Daphnia pulex: one gene and its partner. The protein of the gene in region 2 purifies or fractionates together with the protein of the main gene of each other region. This does not show direct contact. Links are inferred from orthologs where the notes say so. Each region holds a gene or a part of one and is shown on either strand. Other genes may lie near its edges. The genes, in order: serine/threonine-protein phosphatase PP1-beta catalytic subunit and protein phosphatase 1 regulatory subunit 12A-like.

The links.
Region 1: the proteins of protein phosphatase 1 regulatory subunit 12A-like (region 2) and serine/threonine-protein phosphatase PP1-beta catalytic subunit purify together in Drosophila melanogaster (affinity purification with mass spectrometry; 3 studies listed by BioGRID, with this or other methods). This does not show direct contact. The link is inferred for Daphnia pulex from reciprocal best matches to the Drosophila melanogaster genes Mbs and flw.

The regions. Positions count from the first base shown.
Region 1 is NC_060021.1:5,447,543-5,455,920, forward strand, and holds serine/threonine-protein phosphatase PP1-beta catalytic subunit, read right to left. Parts: upstream 7,275-8,378; 5' UTR 7,257-7,274; coding exon 7,136-7,256; intron 7,073-7,135; exon of another isoform or gene 6,886-7,072; coding exon of another isoform or gene 6,870-6,885; intron 6,718-6,869; coding exon 6,586-6,717; intron 6,493-6,585; coding exon 6,262-6,492; intron 6,200-6,261; coding exon 6,023-6,199; intron 5,951-6,022; coding exon 5,664-5,950; intron 5,603-5,663; coding exon 5,501-5,602; 3' UTR 5,211-5,500; downstream 1-5,210. Other genes in the region: probable ATP-dependent RNA helicase DDX10, read left to right, coding at 2,138-2,904, 2,974-3,175, 3,238-4,182, 4,253-4,662, 4,723-4,827, 4,885-5,065. UniProt on the Drosophila melanogaster protein: Required for cell adhesion in non-muscle tissues and in maintenance of muscle attachment. Vital for larval development.
Region 2 is NC_060023.1:10,245,631-10,254,008, forward strand, and holds the start of protein phosphatase 1 regulatory subunit 12A-like, read right to left. Parts: upstream 4,964-8,378; 5' UTR 4,541-4,963; coding exon 4,298-4,540; intron 4,222-4,297; coding exon 4,091-4,221; intron 4,023-4,090; coding exon 3,904-4,022; intron 3,835-3,903; coding exon 3,521-3,834; intron 3,444-3,520; coding exon 3,298-3,443; intron 3,206-3,297; coding exon 2,956-3,205; intron 2,886-2,955; coding exon 2,726-2,885; intron 2,663-2,725; coding exon 2,404-2,662; intron 2,214-2,403; coding exon 1,977-2,213; intron 1,784-1,976; coding exon 1,685-1,783; intron 1,449-1,684; coding exon 1,356-1,448; intron 885-1,355; coding exon 731-884; intron 604-730; coding exon 490-603; intron 312-489; coding exon 182-311; intron 49-181; coding exon 1-48. Other genes in the region: inner centromere protein-like, read right to left, coding at 7,032-7,216, 7,283-7,406, 7,485-7,608, 7,679-7,749, 7,817-7,898, 7,966-8,121, 8,196-8,378.

The DNA of each region.
Region 1 (8,378 bases), on a different chromosome or scaffold from region 2:
CGCAATTTCCCATAAGATTTTCTCGCTCGCGCTTGCGCGTTCCCAAACTTCGGGTAGGTAGTAACCTGAACACCTTGGTCTTTTTTTTTATATAAAAAAAAATATTTCGGCATTTTTTTCTTAATTCTTATAAATGAACTTTGTAAAACAATTAATTCTACATATAATGGGAAGTCTTCAAAGTTAAAAACAAAAAATATACATTGAACTGGGCTTTAGAAAAAGAGCTGTGTTCGGATTTTTTTGTAGGATACCGTACTGTAAATAATTAGAAAAGAGCGACCTGCCTCCAGGCCTTTTAGCCCCATTCTTCCCTACTTCTGCTCCCCCAAAAAAACCCGCCGCCACAGTTCACAGGGGCCTTAAGGGACTACGTTTTTCTTTATTTTATTATTGCATGAAAGACATTTGTGTTTATTTGAAATAAATATGTGTTAATCTTTAAGACCTGCTCTATTTTTTAATATTTTTTTGTCGTCGATCGCGTTAGTGTAAGCTTTGGAAAAAAATCAAAAAGAATTGGAGGGAAAGCGCACCTCTATTTCTAGTAGAAGTGCAGCCATTGCAAGAAACTCGCGCTATTTCACTCGCTATCACAAATGCAGCGACGCAAATGTTCATCAAAGTCATAACTCATAAGTCATCAAATGGATCATCCGCCACAGCAAGTCGTTCCGCAAATCAATAACACAATGCTTAACCACAATTTTGGCTTCTGGTTCTAGAGAAGATATAAGGGTTTTAACAAAAAATGGAGCAGACCTTGTCTGTGCTCTATCAAGCAAGATGAATGTTGTTCATAATCTAGAAGATGGACTAAGTTCACGGTGCACTCACAATCTCGAAAATCTTGCTACATCATTAAAAGTAAGCATCGTTCCTGAAGATATGGCGCTCTTCTTCCTCGAGTTTGTCTTTGATGAAAATGATATTTCGCTACTCCACCGCGTGGATCTTTTTCTATATCGGTTCTTTATCATTCTGCTCGAACCGAAGCCCTTCGTTTATCAATCACCAAGAAAATGCACAAAGTGGCGCAAATTTCGACTGAAAAAATTTACCATCTCTTCAACGAGCCATCTTAACGTGCGCAACGGTTTTGGTACAGTTTTGGAAGGAAACTGTCATGGCAGACTGTTTTCACATCCCTCTTCAAGATATTGTTGCTGTCTGCCTACACATCACATGTAACGTGCTGGACTTCATCGACTAAAATTGACACAACTGCGGGCACGTGTTGGCACCAAATTTCCAATCAATTCATAACGATTTGCTCATCCAGTTGCATTCCCAGCACGTCGCGTCCCATCTACGTCGAGTTCTGTCGTCAAGAGCCATGGCCAAGTCAAAAGTGTGGAAAGTATAGGGGACTATCTGCGGCCTCGCTTTTTGGGAATTCTATTTCATTTGGACAGCGTCCTTCTCTCCAAGATAATCTCAGACAAGATCAAGATTAATGCGACGATTTACCGTGTTTTCCCTCGTGTTTTCCTTATCTCTCATTTATTCCTCAGTACTATCACGCTGTGCAAGTCGCAACTTTCTTGTTGAAGGACATGAAAAACAATCACAACACGACGCAAATATACATTCAATTGGTATCTCTCTCGGAATTGCCCGAACTTTCTTCGGTTACAGGTGTATTAGATGAGTCCGAAGACCTTCCGTTCGTTCTTCAGCTCTGAATTTTATACGTACCAAAGCTAATAAAAAAGATAGTCAAAATAAAATTATATTTTATTAAATTGTGTTTTTTTTTTGTGGGATCTGGTGCTTTTTAATAAAGTGATGCATCCTCTTATTGAACAAAAAAAGATTAAAAATATACGCGTGACGAAATTAATTATTTTTTAGTTATTCTCATTGCCTTGTAAAATAGTGTAATAAACTATTTTTTTTTTAATTCAATTTTGATGAAATCGAAACCTTTTCAAACTTTCCGCCAACTTTCTTATATGCTTCATTTATCGCCAGATGGCACTTACCAGATTTTTGTCGTCTGCTTGTCTCGTGGTGCCCAAAAATTTCGACACAGGGCAAGACGGCAAGTTACTTAGTTATTGAATTGAATGGTTCAAGTTACCTAGTTTCTTTCAAAAATATTTCAAATAAAAGAAAAACAAATTACAACAAGAAAATGGAGAGTGGTAGTACAAATGGTAATGCAAAAACCCCGGATGACAACAAACAAAATGGACCTGGGTCACAAAAGACAAAGAAGAAAAACAACTCCAAAGGAAAATTACACCCAAGTCGAGTTAAAGCAAGTGCCATTGAGCAACACGAAATCAAGAATTTGCAAATTCGCTATACATCAGTGGAAACATCAGCTGTACTAAAATTTAAAGATATTCCGCTTTCCAAGAAAACCTTGCAAGGTCTGCAGCAGAACGAGTACACCACGCCAACCGAAGTCCAAAAAGAGAGTATTGTTCTTGCCCTAAGAGGTCTAGATGTATTGGGAGCTGCCAAAACCGGTAGTGGAAAAACCCTTGCCTTTGTGATACCTGTTCTTGAAAGACTGTACTGCATGCAATGGACTCGACTAGATGGTCTTGGTGCCCTAATTATAACCCCAACTCGAGAATTGGCATACCAGATATTTGAGACTTTCAGGAAGGTTGGAATCCAGCATGATTTTTCTGCTGGTCTCATCATTGGAGGCAAAGACCTTAATTTTGAAAGGAAACGATTAGACCAATGTAACATCATGATTTGCACCCCTGGAAGAGTCCTTCATCACATGGATGAAAATCCTCTCTTTGACTGCTCCAACCTACAGATATTGGTTATTGACGAGGCTGATCGTTGTTTGGATCTGGGATTCCAGCAAACGATGAACGGTATCATTGAAAATTTACCCCCAAAGAGGCAAACTCTGCTGTTTTCCGCCACACAAACCAAGTATTTAATATGATAACATTCATCGTTTAGAATTTACGCTCACCTTTTTATATCTTATGTAAATTACAGATCAGTCAAAGATCTCGCTCGTCTCAGTTTAAAGGACCCCGTTTACGTTTCTGTTCACGAAAACGCTCAATACTCCACACCCGAGTCTTTGCGTCAAAGCTACATCATTACTCCCATTCAAAACAAAGTCGACATTTTATGGTCTTTTCTTAGGAGTCATAGGAAGAAGAAACTGATTGTCTTTTTGACTTCTTGCAAACAGGTAATTTGTTGAAAAATTTGCCGTTGATTATCAAACTAACTTGAACATTGCCTTTTAATTAGGTTCGATTTATTCATCAAGCTTTTACTCGTCTGCGACCTGGTCTTTCTGTATTGGCTTTGTATGGTACCATGCACCAGATGAAACGCATGTCAGTCTACGAAGAGTTTTGCGAGAAGCAAACTGCCGTCCTGTTCGCCACAGACATTGCCGCTCGAGGACTCGATTTTCCTAATGTTGATTGGGTAATTCAAATGGATTGTCCGGACGACCCAAGTAGCTACATCCACCGAGCCGGTCGTACTGCTCGTTATCAGAAAGGAGGGGAATCGTTGCTGATGCTGCTGCCCTCAGAAGAAGCCATGGTTGAGCAGTTGGCCCAGAAAAAGATCCCCATTCAGAAAATTGAAGTCAATCCTTCGAAATTGGTTTCCATTCAGCGGAAACTCGAAGCCATGCTCGCTCGTGATGTTGAATTGAAACAAATGGCCCAACGGGCTTTTGTTACTTATGCCAAATCAGTTTTCCTTATGAAAGACAAGTCGATTTTTGATGTCACTAGTATCGATTTGAATGCTTTAGCTCGGTCTTTGGGGCTCGCTCTTGCTCCACGCGTCCGTTTCCTACAAAAACATCTCAAGGCAACAGAATCGGCTGCGCCTCCACAAGCTCCTCGAATGTTGAAACCAAACTATGACACCCCAGCCGAGAAGCCTATTGCCGCTCAATCGACTGAGCAGCAATGGAGAAGAAACGACCTGGAAGCAGCTTACGATTTCCACGCAGAAGACGAATTACAGGATTCCGATAGCGATGACGGCATTTTCAAAATCAAGCGGCAAAATCACGCTCTCCCCGGATTCGAAGAAGCCGAGGAGGAGGAGGTTGAAATTGGTGTTGAGAAAAAGAAGAAGGAAAAGATCTTGACCAAGGAGAAAGTTGCCAAACGAATCCTTGCTAAAAAGCTGAAGGCCAATAAAATTGTCAACTTTGACGACGAAGGAAATGTAATACCCATTTTTTACAGAATGATCCCATTTCGTGTTGTTGTATAATTTATTGTTGTTTATTTTGCAGAGAATTTATGACGCATCTCGCGAGAAAGTTTCCGAGCTTGGCCGAGCTCTCGAAATTGAAGCTTCGACATCGATTACTGGTGGCATCAATTTGGTTGAAGCCAAAAAGGCGATGGAAGAAGAGGATAAATACGACAAAGAAATCTTCCGTCAGCGTATTAAAGCCAAACATCGCGAAGATCGACTCAAAGCCAAAGCAGAGCGTAGACTTGCCAACCGGGTAGAGAAGGAAGAAGAAGTAACGAATGTCGAAGGTGAGGAGGAGGACGAAGAGTCTGAAGGTGACGAGAGTGTCGATGGTTCAGTCGGAGAAATTATAGACGCTTTACCCGATCCCGATCGCATCTACGGCGCCAAGGAAGATGATAGCGAAGAAGAAGGTGAGGTTTACAGAGGGCCAGCTGTTGCAAAGTAAGAAATCTCCCATTTAATTTTCGTTTGTTCCAATAAAGTAATTCTGTCTTTATTTAGGAAACGCTCGCGATTGCCGAGCGAGAGTGAAGAAGATGACGACAGTGAAGATGATAGTGAAAGTGACAATGACGAAGCACCTGTCAAGCCTACCCCGATTACAAGGTACAAACATTTGGCTGAAACCAAGTTGGAATTCTATTAATTCTTTCTCATAATTAGGAAACGGCGACAACCGAGTGAAAGCGAAGAACTTCCCACACCTACAAAGACGAAACAAAAATGGATCAAGAAGAAGCCACCTAAGAAACAGAAACCAGCTAAGAACAGTAAATTTGACACTGGCCTGGATTTGGCTATGGACGAAGAGTTGGCTCTTCACATTCTTGGCTCTAAAAATTAAAGAAAGACTGCCTCGTTGTCCATATGAAATACACAGTCAGCTTAATGGATTGAGAACTTTGACATTAACGCGGCTTGTCGACTGAATCTTTTCCGACGTAATTGTAAACTGTTTCATTGCGTCATACAAGGAAAGCATGTTCAAGTTTGCTGATATCATGTTGGTTTATTTGTTTGATTTACAGAGGATATACACTAAATGAAGGGAGAAAGAGATGTGGTAAGTAACGAGGAAAAAAATGAAGACGCTGACGAAGCATGCGAAGGAGTAACGTTGTCCTCCAAATTGTGTGACGAGGGCAACAGAAATAGTAGTTGTAAGAATTTGTTAAAAAGGGGAAATTGGGCATTGATGGCTCCCACCACATTCCGGTTGAAAGGTTAAGTCGATCAAATAATTCAATAGGATTAAGCTTACAATAACTCTTACTAACTATTACTTCTTCTTGGGCACTGGTTTGTTGGCAGCTGCGTTCGGCTTCGTGGCGTTGATACCAGAATACTGGTATTTTGCTTTCTTCTCCGAGGGTTTCAAAATCTAACGAATTTGGAAAAATTTTAAATTTGAGTTACAAATATTAAACATTCAATAGAAATACCTGAAAAGAGCACATAAGTGTTTCATCAACGCTCATCATGCCGCCCGCGTTGTCAAACTCCCCGCAGTAATTTGGCGCAGAAAAGAGAGTAACCAGTTGACGTTTGGCAAAAAATTCGTAACCATCTTCTACGACCTGATGAGCTCTGCAAATCAAGTCAAGGTCATGGCGATTCAAAAATTTGCTGACAACATCAGCTCCGAAAGTGAAGGAAACGCCGCGGTCATTTTCAGACCATCCTTGCACGTCTTTATCAGGGTCGGACCACAGCAGGTCACAAAGAAGGCCTGAATGTAAAACAAATCAGCCACATATGATGTTATATATATTTCAGGTGTAAAAGCCAAGTCGAAGTTTACCAGTGTCAGGTACATCAGTCGGCCTCATAATACGTTTGATTTGGTCCATGTTTTGTAGGTCGGGACTTAAGCCGCCGTGACAACAAAATATTTTCTCGTCAATTATGGCGGCGATAGGAAGACAATTAAAACAATCGGTGAAAGTCTTCCACAGTTTAATGTTGTACCGCCGTTTGCCTAAGATAAAGCAGAATACATCACTCTAAAAAATGGCCATTTAGAAAACGATAGTTACTTACATTCATCATAAAAGCCATAAATTCTGTTGATGGATGCACATTCGTGATTTCCTCTTAATAAGAAGAAATTTTCAGGGTACTTGATTTTATAAGCAAGTAGAAGGCAAATGGTTTCCAAGGACTGTTTTCCGCGATCCACGTAATCGCCAAGAAATAAATAATTTGCTTCAGGGGGGAAACCTCCATACTCAAACAATCTTAGCAAATCTGTATACTGGCCATGAATATCACCTGAAAATACCAAACAGAAAATATAATTTACTACCTCTTTGGAAGTCCCAAGTAAAAAAAATAAGAATGAAATTTGTTAAAATTAGTGCATACCACAAATTTTCAGGGGTGCTTCTAGCTCAAGGAGTATTGGCTGTTGAAGGAAAATCTCTCTGGATTTTAAACACAAGCCCCTAACTTCAGCCTCTGTCATCTGCACAGACTTCCCAGGCCGGCATCCTCTCACTGTTACAAAACACATAAAAAAAAATGGTTAGTGATTAACAATTTGATTTACAGGTAATCACATGACAATTTCATTTTTAGGGCAAGGAACAAGGCTGTGGGTATGTGATATAAATACTCTAATCAAGTTGTATAGAACCTTAAATTATTACCATTGAATGAGACCATTTAGTTTCATTTAAATATAAATAAGAAGATGGGGAAATATTGGTTTCAAGAATTTGTTTAGCGTCACAAAATTGCCAACGTAATCATTATTTTCGAAATTGAAAATTGAAGCCCTTTGCAGTTCTACACCAAAAAAGTAGTCTAAGAAGCTATTGAACGCATAAAAGATGTATCAATGAGACCACTTAGTTCCTAGCTTTCAGACTGCTCTATTAGTTTTAATCAAAATTTTTAATTCATAATGACTTACCTTCTAACAATCGAGAAATAATACTGTCAACATTAAGGTCGTCCGCCATCATCGAAAAGTCAGACGGGATTAAAATAGTTGTGCAGCACCATCTGGATGTAAACACCTGAACTTGAGACATGGCTTTCGTCTGCTAGGGAAACTAGGGCTCGCGTTGCAAGCGTTGGCCTTCGGCTAAGTGACAGAGCTATCTTGGAAGAATTTTGGAATTAGGCAGTCTTGTTCTTGTGCTTCATTTTCTTGTCGTTATTTTTTATTTTACTCTGTAATTTTTTATTTTATTGTACTCTGTATACTCTTCTACTTTTTTAAAACACTGACCATAAAAAAAAAAAAAGAACGACGTTGCATTTATAAATTTTCATTTCGACAAAAATAAACAAATAAGGAAGAAGGACAAATTAACATTTTTAGCGGAAGTAAAATAAGCTTTTTGTCTGGGAATTCCAAACCTGGTCGGTATATACCTCATTTCTCGAAGTTTGGTGATACTTGATGAATACACTTTTCTGCCGTGTAATCAACCTCAGCTTCGGTGGTGAATCGCCCAATTCCAAATCGAATAGAAGAATGCGCCAAATCTTCTTCAGCGCCAATGGTCCGCAAAATATATGAAAGTTCCAGCAATGCTGAGGTGCAAGTACTTCCGCTTGAGAGTGCCACGTCTTACGTAATAAAAAGAATTAGTTAAAATGAAAGGTAGTGGAAGTTGCCTTTATATAAAGTTACCTTTCAGGGCCATGAAAAGACTTTCTCCCTCGACGTAGGCGAAAGAAAGGTTTACACAACCTGGGTAGGAGTGTTCAGGATCTCAATTTCGTACGACATGTGTTAAACTATTACCAATCTGATCGATCAAGCGTTGCGATAGTTTACTAATCTGGCATGATTATACTAAAACATGGTTTTGATCAATTAGTTATGTATGGATACTACTATGACATGAACTAAAACCTTAAGTTCTTGCTGAGCTACTTCACATGCTGCGCCAAAACCAACTGTCACTCTGTCAGTGGAGTAGGAACTGTTCCACCACGTATCCCTCATTCCTGACCACCTCCACTTTGCAGAGCTTCAATCCTAACCCGTGGTCGGCCTATCACGTAAAGAGCACCAACACCTTTTGTTCAAGTTCAAGAAAAGAATGATGCGAAAAAAGAGTGAATTACATCGAAATAACAATCATATATTAAATTGTAAAATACCTTTATAAATCAATTGACATCGATTCAACATCAATTGG
Region 2 (8,378 bases):
TTGCTGGGGTAGCAGCTGCCGCATTCTCCTTTGTCGTCTCCTTCATTTCTGTGTGTGTTTGTTGACACAAGAAATAGAAACGGGAAATGTGTCAGGCAAACAGGACAGACAAAGTAAAAAAAAAAAAAAAAACAGGAAAAAAGATGAATTGCTTCATTCTTTTTGTTGTTGTTGTTGTTACCTTCTTCCTGGGCTTTGGAGCGACGCAGCGGGATCGTGATGACAGTGTCGGCCGTTATTGATGTGATGGTCGATGAGGCATTCACACCGCCTCCTCCGTTGTTCTTACTCCGTGAATCTTCCAATGAGAACTAGACGACAATTGTTCAAGGATTAAAACTTTGTGACACAACAAAATTCGACTGGGGTAAAAAACAAAAAAGTGTCCATGCGGTGGAGATTGGATTGTAAAAGGGGATAATCGACGGCCAAAATCAACAGAAGACAATTCCCGACCTCCCCTAGCTCACGCCTTATAATGTAGCCAACCTTGTTCTTATTGTTATCGTTGATGCACAATCTCCAGGATGGCCGCCGTTCCAGTTCGGATTTCGAATCGGTAGATTCGGTAGCATCGGGGGTGACCGACGCAGGTATTGATGTCTGCCCCACAAACAAAGCAAAGTCTGATTAGTTTCCCCCCAGACTTTGATTCATTTCAGTTCACACACTCCTGGGATTCAACTCCTGCAATGTTTGGTGTTAAGAAAGAGGATGAGGGACAACTTACGGTTTCGGCCTGTTTCTTCTTGGCTAGCTGTTCGGCCGTTTTGACCTCTTCCAGCGTGACGCCCTGCGTGGAACGCCTGGTTTCACGGACCCGCTTGGCGTGTGCCTTTCGCTGCGTCTCTGACTCTTCGTCGCGTACTGGAGGAACAAATGACCTAATCATCACAGAAAACAATTTCTTAATCAAAGCTGTCAGACATGAGCATTTTCCCCACCCAAAAAACAAACATCCAAAAATCGACACAACACAAAAAGGGCCAATCAAGCCGAGCCCTTCGCGTTTCCATCACAGCACAAACACAACACACGCGCGGATTAATACACGAAAATGTTCAGTCGCTGTGTCCATTCCGTTAAAGAGGACAACAAGGGGGGATTAAGGACTTAATTCAACGTTGTGTTTTTGTTCGCAGGCAGACAGAGGATTATTGTCGTCAGGATCCAACGACATATCTAAAGAGCTAAAAGGAGCTTTTCGGTTCCAGCCAAAACATTATTTAAGGCTATGCAGTATGTCGGTTGAATTGTGTTAAACAAAACAATCATCTTCAATCGTTTTGGGGGCACAAGTCAAAGAACAAAGAAGAAGAGAAGAAGAAGAAAAAAAGAGATCCAAGAACACAAACTTGAAGAAATTCTTGATAATTGTTCCGGGACTTAGTTTGACGTTGGTGAGCGATGAGGTCGCTGTAGTGGTCACAACCGTGTTGGCCGACGGGCTAACAGTATTTGAGAGAAATCATCGAGAGAAATTACAAATAAGAAGACCATAACAAGATCCCAAAAGAAAAGAAAGAAAACAAAATAAATAAATAATAAAAAAATAAAATAAGGAAGAAATGAAATTGGGCAGGGCACAATAATTGACTCCTTATTTTGAGGTGAACGTTGGAATGGACTTGATGTAATCGTTTGAACTAAAGGATAATAATAATTTTCCAAATTGCCATTGTACCTGCGTATGGGCTGATTGGCCGAACTCGGCACGTTGGGCTGCGATAGGACCAAAGTGGCCGTTGTCGTCTGCTCGACGGGGCATTCTGTTCCCAACCGACTACAAAATGGCACGAAAACGACAACAAATTTCAAAAAATTAGTATACTCAATCGAAATAACGAACTGAAGAAGAGAAGAAAAGAAATAAACAAACATCATTCTATCTCAAACTACCGTGCGGATCAAGAGAGTGAAAAGAGTTAGAAAAAAAGGAGTGTTTGGCAAGGGTGCTGGGCCGTCCAGCGTGATACCTTTTCACCCGTAGAACGACTGGTTCAAGGTCGTCGTCAGGTTGTAGGGTTTGTTCGACTCGGCTTCGGTTATTGGTTGAATGAATAGTGTTAGTACTAGTGGGGCCTCCACCATTGACATCCTCCCCAACGCTGTTGCTGCCGCCGCTCACGATCGGAGTGAGCGACGAGGCTGCCAGCAATGGCAAGGAATTGGCCTTGATCCGTCGCCGCAGTTCCAGCAGCCGCGAATAAAATCTACGGCGCGAGCACGGACACATACACACAAACACATACACGACCATGCGCGTTCAATGTGTGATGGAAAAACCCGTTTTTGTTAATCAAATGGTTTCGTTTGTTTTAATGAGTTAAGTGCTGGAATATTATCGGTGCAAGGGTTAAAATAAAGTCATTGTTTGCACAGACAAACACCCACAATCCTTACCGTTCGTCGGACTCGAAACTATGGGCTCTCCGTAGTGTGACTTCCGTATCGGTAGACAAGGCGGAGGTGGACGAGGAGATGGATGAGGCGGTTGAGGCGAGGTTGGACGAAGTGGTAGAAGAAGATTGAGGGGTGGCGGAGGAAGAAGACGTGACGGCCGCTACAGGGGTTAAAGGCTGAGAGATGGACCGGTTCAATCCTTCTCGCTCCGATTTGACCGGAGTGTGGTTCAATGTTCCACTGCCGTTGGCAGCATTGGCTGATGGAAAATATTAGAAATTAAAACACGAAACATTTCCAAGTTGCATGAGCGTTTGCCTACCAGCTTGCCTCGACCGGAAAGAACCAGGTCTTCTCCAAGAAGGAACATCCTCCTCGGTTTCAATCATTTGACCCGATTGCTGTGATGGAGACGAAGGCAGGTTGTCCACATCAGTGGCCGGTGGAGGTGGTGGACGTGAAGGGGGTCCGCTTGACGAAGTCTTTTTTTAAAATAAAAACCAGAAAATTAATATCAGAATCCGAGCTGAAATTAGACAAGGAAACGATTACCACTCTAGGAGAATTATCTTTCGTTGAAGTCGGGACGGATGTGGTGGTTGTGGCAGGGGTTGTGGCAGGTTTGGCTCGTTCATCAAAGGACTCCTGGACGGCAAGAGGGGCCACGGGCGAGGATAGTTCGCCACTGCTGTTCTCTTTTTCCTCGTCGACCATGATGACGGCACCGGGAACCTTATCCGTGATTTTGGACGAAGCCTGGATGGCAGCTTTCTCCGTTTGCGGGGTACGGGTGACCGACGATCTAACAATAGTCCCAAGCAAACAAACGCAGGAAATATAAACAAACAGTCCAGGGCGAGAGACAATTGCAAGAATGTCGTTAAAAAATCTCACCGTCTCTTGGGTGGTGACTGGTTCCTTGCGTTGCCTCGATTATTGTACACTTCTGGCCGCTCTCGTAAAATGATGGCCTGACGCTTCTTGCATTCTTCCAGTAACCGGATGATGTCAGGATCGGCCACATCAAAGCAAGTCTGACCCTAAACGAATGGACATACACAATAAATGAAGAGAATTCGGGTTTTAGATGCCACACTGTTGGCGTGCTGGATCGTACCACGTAATTGCGGACCTCCATGTCCGCCATGTTTTCGCACAAGAGTTGACATGCTTCACGCTGTCCCCAATGGGCAGCCGCATGTAATGGTGTCCAGCCGTCAATGTCTTGAATGTTCAGCTCGCCTCCGCCCTGAACGAGCATGCTCATCACGCGGATGTAACCTTTGGCTGAAGCGACATGGAGCGGAGTAGCGCCGGTTCTAGGGTGCGGCTGGAGCAGTCGAGCTGATGCCGGGTCTCCTTCCAGCCACCGACTAGTGTCAGCAAGCATTTGTCGTTCCTCTTGGCTCCTAGCAGCATCGCAGTCAATGCCTGTTGATCATAAATCCATAGTAGTGTCGTGTGAAAAGTGAGCTCAAGTGTTATTGTTTTTGTTATTACCTCGCAACTGTGTTTCTCGTTCAAGCAACTCTTCCATGGCTTCTGTTTCAGCAATATCAATAGGGAGTTCACCGTCATTGTTTACAGCAGCAACATCTGACTTGTTCTCAATCAGGTACCTAATTCATAATTCCAAACAGCTGTTGTTTAGCATTGTGCGAGCATCAAAACTAGTCATGTTAAGTACCTGGCAATTGATAAAAATCCACAAGAGGCTGTGGCGTGCAGAGGAGTCCAGCCTTCATGATCTCCACGATTGATGTCAGCTCCATGCTCCACCAAAAACTCCACCATATCCAAATTGTCATCGATGCAGGCCTGTATGAAGAAAACAACCCTCAAAGTCAGACGACTGGCGTAAATGGTTTGTTGACAGGGCCAAAACAAAACTGACCTGATGCAGCGCAGTTAAACCATCAACATTGGGGGTGTCTATGTCAGCTCCTTGCCGTATGAGTTTGAGTACTTCTTCTTTGTCACCGGCAGCACAAGCGGAGAGAAATACACATCCATCTGAGAATTGGATTCTCCTTGAAACCACACGAGCTGAGGCAGGTTCCTTGTTTGTCTCTGATTCCTCCCACCTTCTCAGTTGTTCAGCCCTCTTAAACAGGGCTGAATTTGTTCTTGACTCCATGTTTTTGGCGGCGTTTCAACGCAACCGTAAGCCACTGTAGAATGCAACCCGGGCACTTTCCGATCCCTTGAAGGGAATGTGACTCTCCTCAGAGATCGGAGGAGAGCGAAAGAAGGCACAGGACAACACAAGGGAGTGGAAGACGGGAGGTGCCAATTGCTATTGTATAAACACGTCGGGGAAGGCACACACTGTATCTAAATCCTTTCCCGGCCGGCGATATCTGACTATCCTTTACGCGGCTTCTTCTATTGATAGAAGACCGCAGTCTGGATATTTCGCCCCCACCAAATTGGCACGAGTTTCGTCTAGTTACAACACACAGACACACATGAATGGATGGAGATGGGGAAGAGACTCGATTCTGCCTCAAGCAGACGTCGCCATCTTGGCCTCTTTTTTTCAGTTTTTTTTTTTTTGTTTTTATTTTTAGACTTTTCCCCCATGGAACTAAGAATCAACGGTACACTCGCCACAGATTTTACCATCATGCTATTCTGGAAATTCTCCCAGGTGGCGCTGACTATTCACAAGAGGGTGAAGACTAAAGAGCTCTCGTGTTATATGTTAAGATGTTACGAATATTTTATCTAGCACAATGAGATCTTTTCGTCGGATCCCGAAATTCGACGAATTGTTCCCATAAAACAAAAACATTTATGAATGACACATACAATTTTTTAATTCACTCCATCGAAATGTTTATAAAAGGGCCCAACTATGGACAACTAGCGCCTCCCATGCGGCAGTTCTATCGATTCAGGAAATTTTTTCGATAATCTCGCCACCTTTACTTAACATTTGGTGCTTTCACCAGCGTTGCCAAGTCGCTACGTGCAGAGCAAGACAAGACGCTTTTTTTTCTTCACCATTTTCCATTTACATTCGGATCCCGGGAACCGACCGTATGTGCACCGGCACTCACGCACACTTGACCCAACGGCCCGTTCTTGGGCATCACGAACAGTCATGACTTCACTTTCCATCCCACAAAAAAAAATAGAAAATAAAAATACGATGCAGGACAACAGCCGGTGAGCCAATCCATTTCCAAATAAAACTCATCTTCAAAGTTTCTCTCTTCCTTCTCCCTTTCCCCTTTTTTGTTGCCTCCTATCCGCATTTCCCAAATGTGGATTCCGATCCATCACGCGGCCAAGTAGAGGGAGAAAAGGGAAAAGAAAACAAGTTTTTGATCGATAACTGAATGATTTTTTTTTCCCATAAGGGAATCGGAGATGAAAGATGTAGAAATGGTTTTAAACTCCTAAAATGCTATCTGCGCTATTAGATGGCAGTTGATGTCAGTATAAATAATGAAAAAACCTTTTCCAGGTTTCTACTTTTGATGGTTTAGCAATCGACGGCTACCCGATTGTTCGATTGCCATAAATTATTTGAATAACATTGATTTTGTAGACGAAGCGGTAATGGAATTCTTTTGGATCGACAAGTTCGTTTTAAATTTCCTAATGCATAATTCAAAGACAAGAGGAAGAACCCAAGATAAGAAAAATTGATATTCGAGCGTTGCCAAATTCTTATTGGATATTCCCATCCTCCTGTTGCGTCTTGTTATTGCTCTTTACCCGTCTTGCTCTGACAGCGGGAAACAAAAGCAGACCGCTCCTCCATCACTCAAATAGTCAAATGTTTAGATAGAAAGACATCTTAATTATTTATTCTTACCCTATAATCGTGGCGCCGAATCGTGTTTTCGTGTGTTGTTCCCAGTTTCACATAAAAATGACCAACATTGGCCCATCCTGAAAAGTAAACATTTACATATACTTTGAGTTGTTTTCCGGCTATAGAGTGACGTTTGTTTTCTTGTGTGTGAACGTTCAAGGTTCGTCGAATGGGACAAGCGTCACTATGGGTATACTGATTTCCTGCTATGATTCATGCTGCAGGCCAAAGATTGCCAATGGAGAATCCATCAACCCTTATGCATCGGTAAACCTATTTTGAGCCTTTCTACCTGTGTCAACACTTAATCATAAAATGCTGCAAATCAATTTTTTTTGCAGGCTTACAGAAGACAGTCGGAACAAGATGTTTTGAGGGAGAGGCAAATGCGAGATGAAGTCTGTGGCCTGCTTGTTCCATCCCCATCAAAGTGCAGTACTGCTAGAAATGCACCTATCATAAAAAAACCAGAAAAAGGAATGATGTATTATTCATGCACCACCTACGAATTTGTGAAGTAGTTTCTTATCTCTGCTCAAAGATTACCTTTAATTCTCAACCATGTCCTTCTCCATGTGTCACTGCAGGTAATCTGTGATTATTTCCTTGTGCTTTTTTCCATGAAAACATGACAAGTTGTATAAACCATTTGACAGAAATCCACATTTCAGAAGGAAACAAGAATAACCGTGTACTTTTTTTGTATTATAATGAATGATAGAAGCAAGGCAAAAGGTAGTAGCATAAATTTCTGTTTAAAAACACAAAAGAAAAGTTCCAATGTGAAATGGAAGTGTGCATATTACATGTGATTCGCGGGAGGGGTTTTCCAGATGGCGCTGGACGTGCGCTTGTTAAAACGGGCACGTTTAATCTTAAATATATCGTTCAGGTCAGGATCTTGAAGGAGTATGTCTCCGGGGAAAATTTGGGCGGTATCAATATTTGCTTCCGTTTGCTGCGCTAACGCCACTTTAATATTGAAACCTAAATAATTGAATAATAATTTGTTGTTAGTGATGAACAACAAAGTTAAGCAACTTTGTAACTTACTTCTAGCCCAAGAAGGAATAGATTTTTTGGGCCTGGAATCATCGTCGGTAGAGTCATCTGAGCGCATATCACCGATATCATAGTTGTCGGGATTGAAAAGTCTCCCCTTCTTGGTCACGCGCACCTAAAAAAAAAAAAAAGCGAAAATTCGATGCATTTAAACGCAATCCCAAAAAATTCAAGAATATGGTCATTTGCATACTGGCGTGATCTGGTAGTTTGCAGTGAGAGACGAAGGCAGCGTGACGGTAGTGTTCAACGTGAAAGGTCCTGGGACTGGCACAGCAACGGCGGCGGCAGCTTTGGCTTTTTCAACCTCAGCTTGCCTGAGAATTCAAACACGTTTGGCATAAAATACTTGAAACGTTAGAGCAAAAACACATTTGACTTTCAAACCTCAACTTGGCTTGCTTTTCTTGTTCCTCCTGTTCCTTCTTAACGGCTTGCAAACGAAGTTGTTCTTCCTCCTAAGAAATTAACATTCGAAATCAGTCCATCAGCATTTATATGAATCCGCAAGGAAAATAAATTTACCCATTCCTGTTGCTTTTGTAGTTCTTCGGCCTTGCGGCGCTGTTCGGCTTCTTGTTGTCTTTGCAGAAGAGCTATCCGGACGCTGTACAAGGAGAATTGGATTAATTTAATTTAACTTTCTCTTCGTCACTCAAACACCAACGCCTTACCGTTCTGCCTTCTCTTGGTTCTCAGCTTGTATTTTCTGCTTCAAGTGGGCACTCTTTTCTTCTTTGTTCTCAAGTTTTTGTTTCTGTTCTTCTTTGTGTTGTTTAGTGATTAGGGTGCGCTGCGCCAAGGCACGTTTCGCTCGAGACTCGTGTTTCCTGGATAAGAAATACGAAACAATGAATAGGAACATCAGCTGAGGTGACGAACAAGGTAAATAAAATGGACGCACCGTTTTTGTTCCTCGGCCTTGGCTTTCAAATACTCTTCACGCTTGCGAGCAGCCTCCTCTTCTTTTTCCTTCAACCGCTTGAGTTCCAATTCCTTGCGCTTGAGCCCGTCCTCTTCGGTGGCTTTAGTAGGCATTGGAACTGGCTTAGTACCCGTAAACGTGCCGATACCTGTGACTATGTTA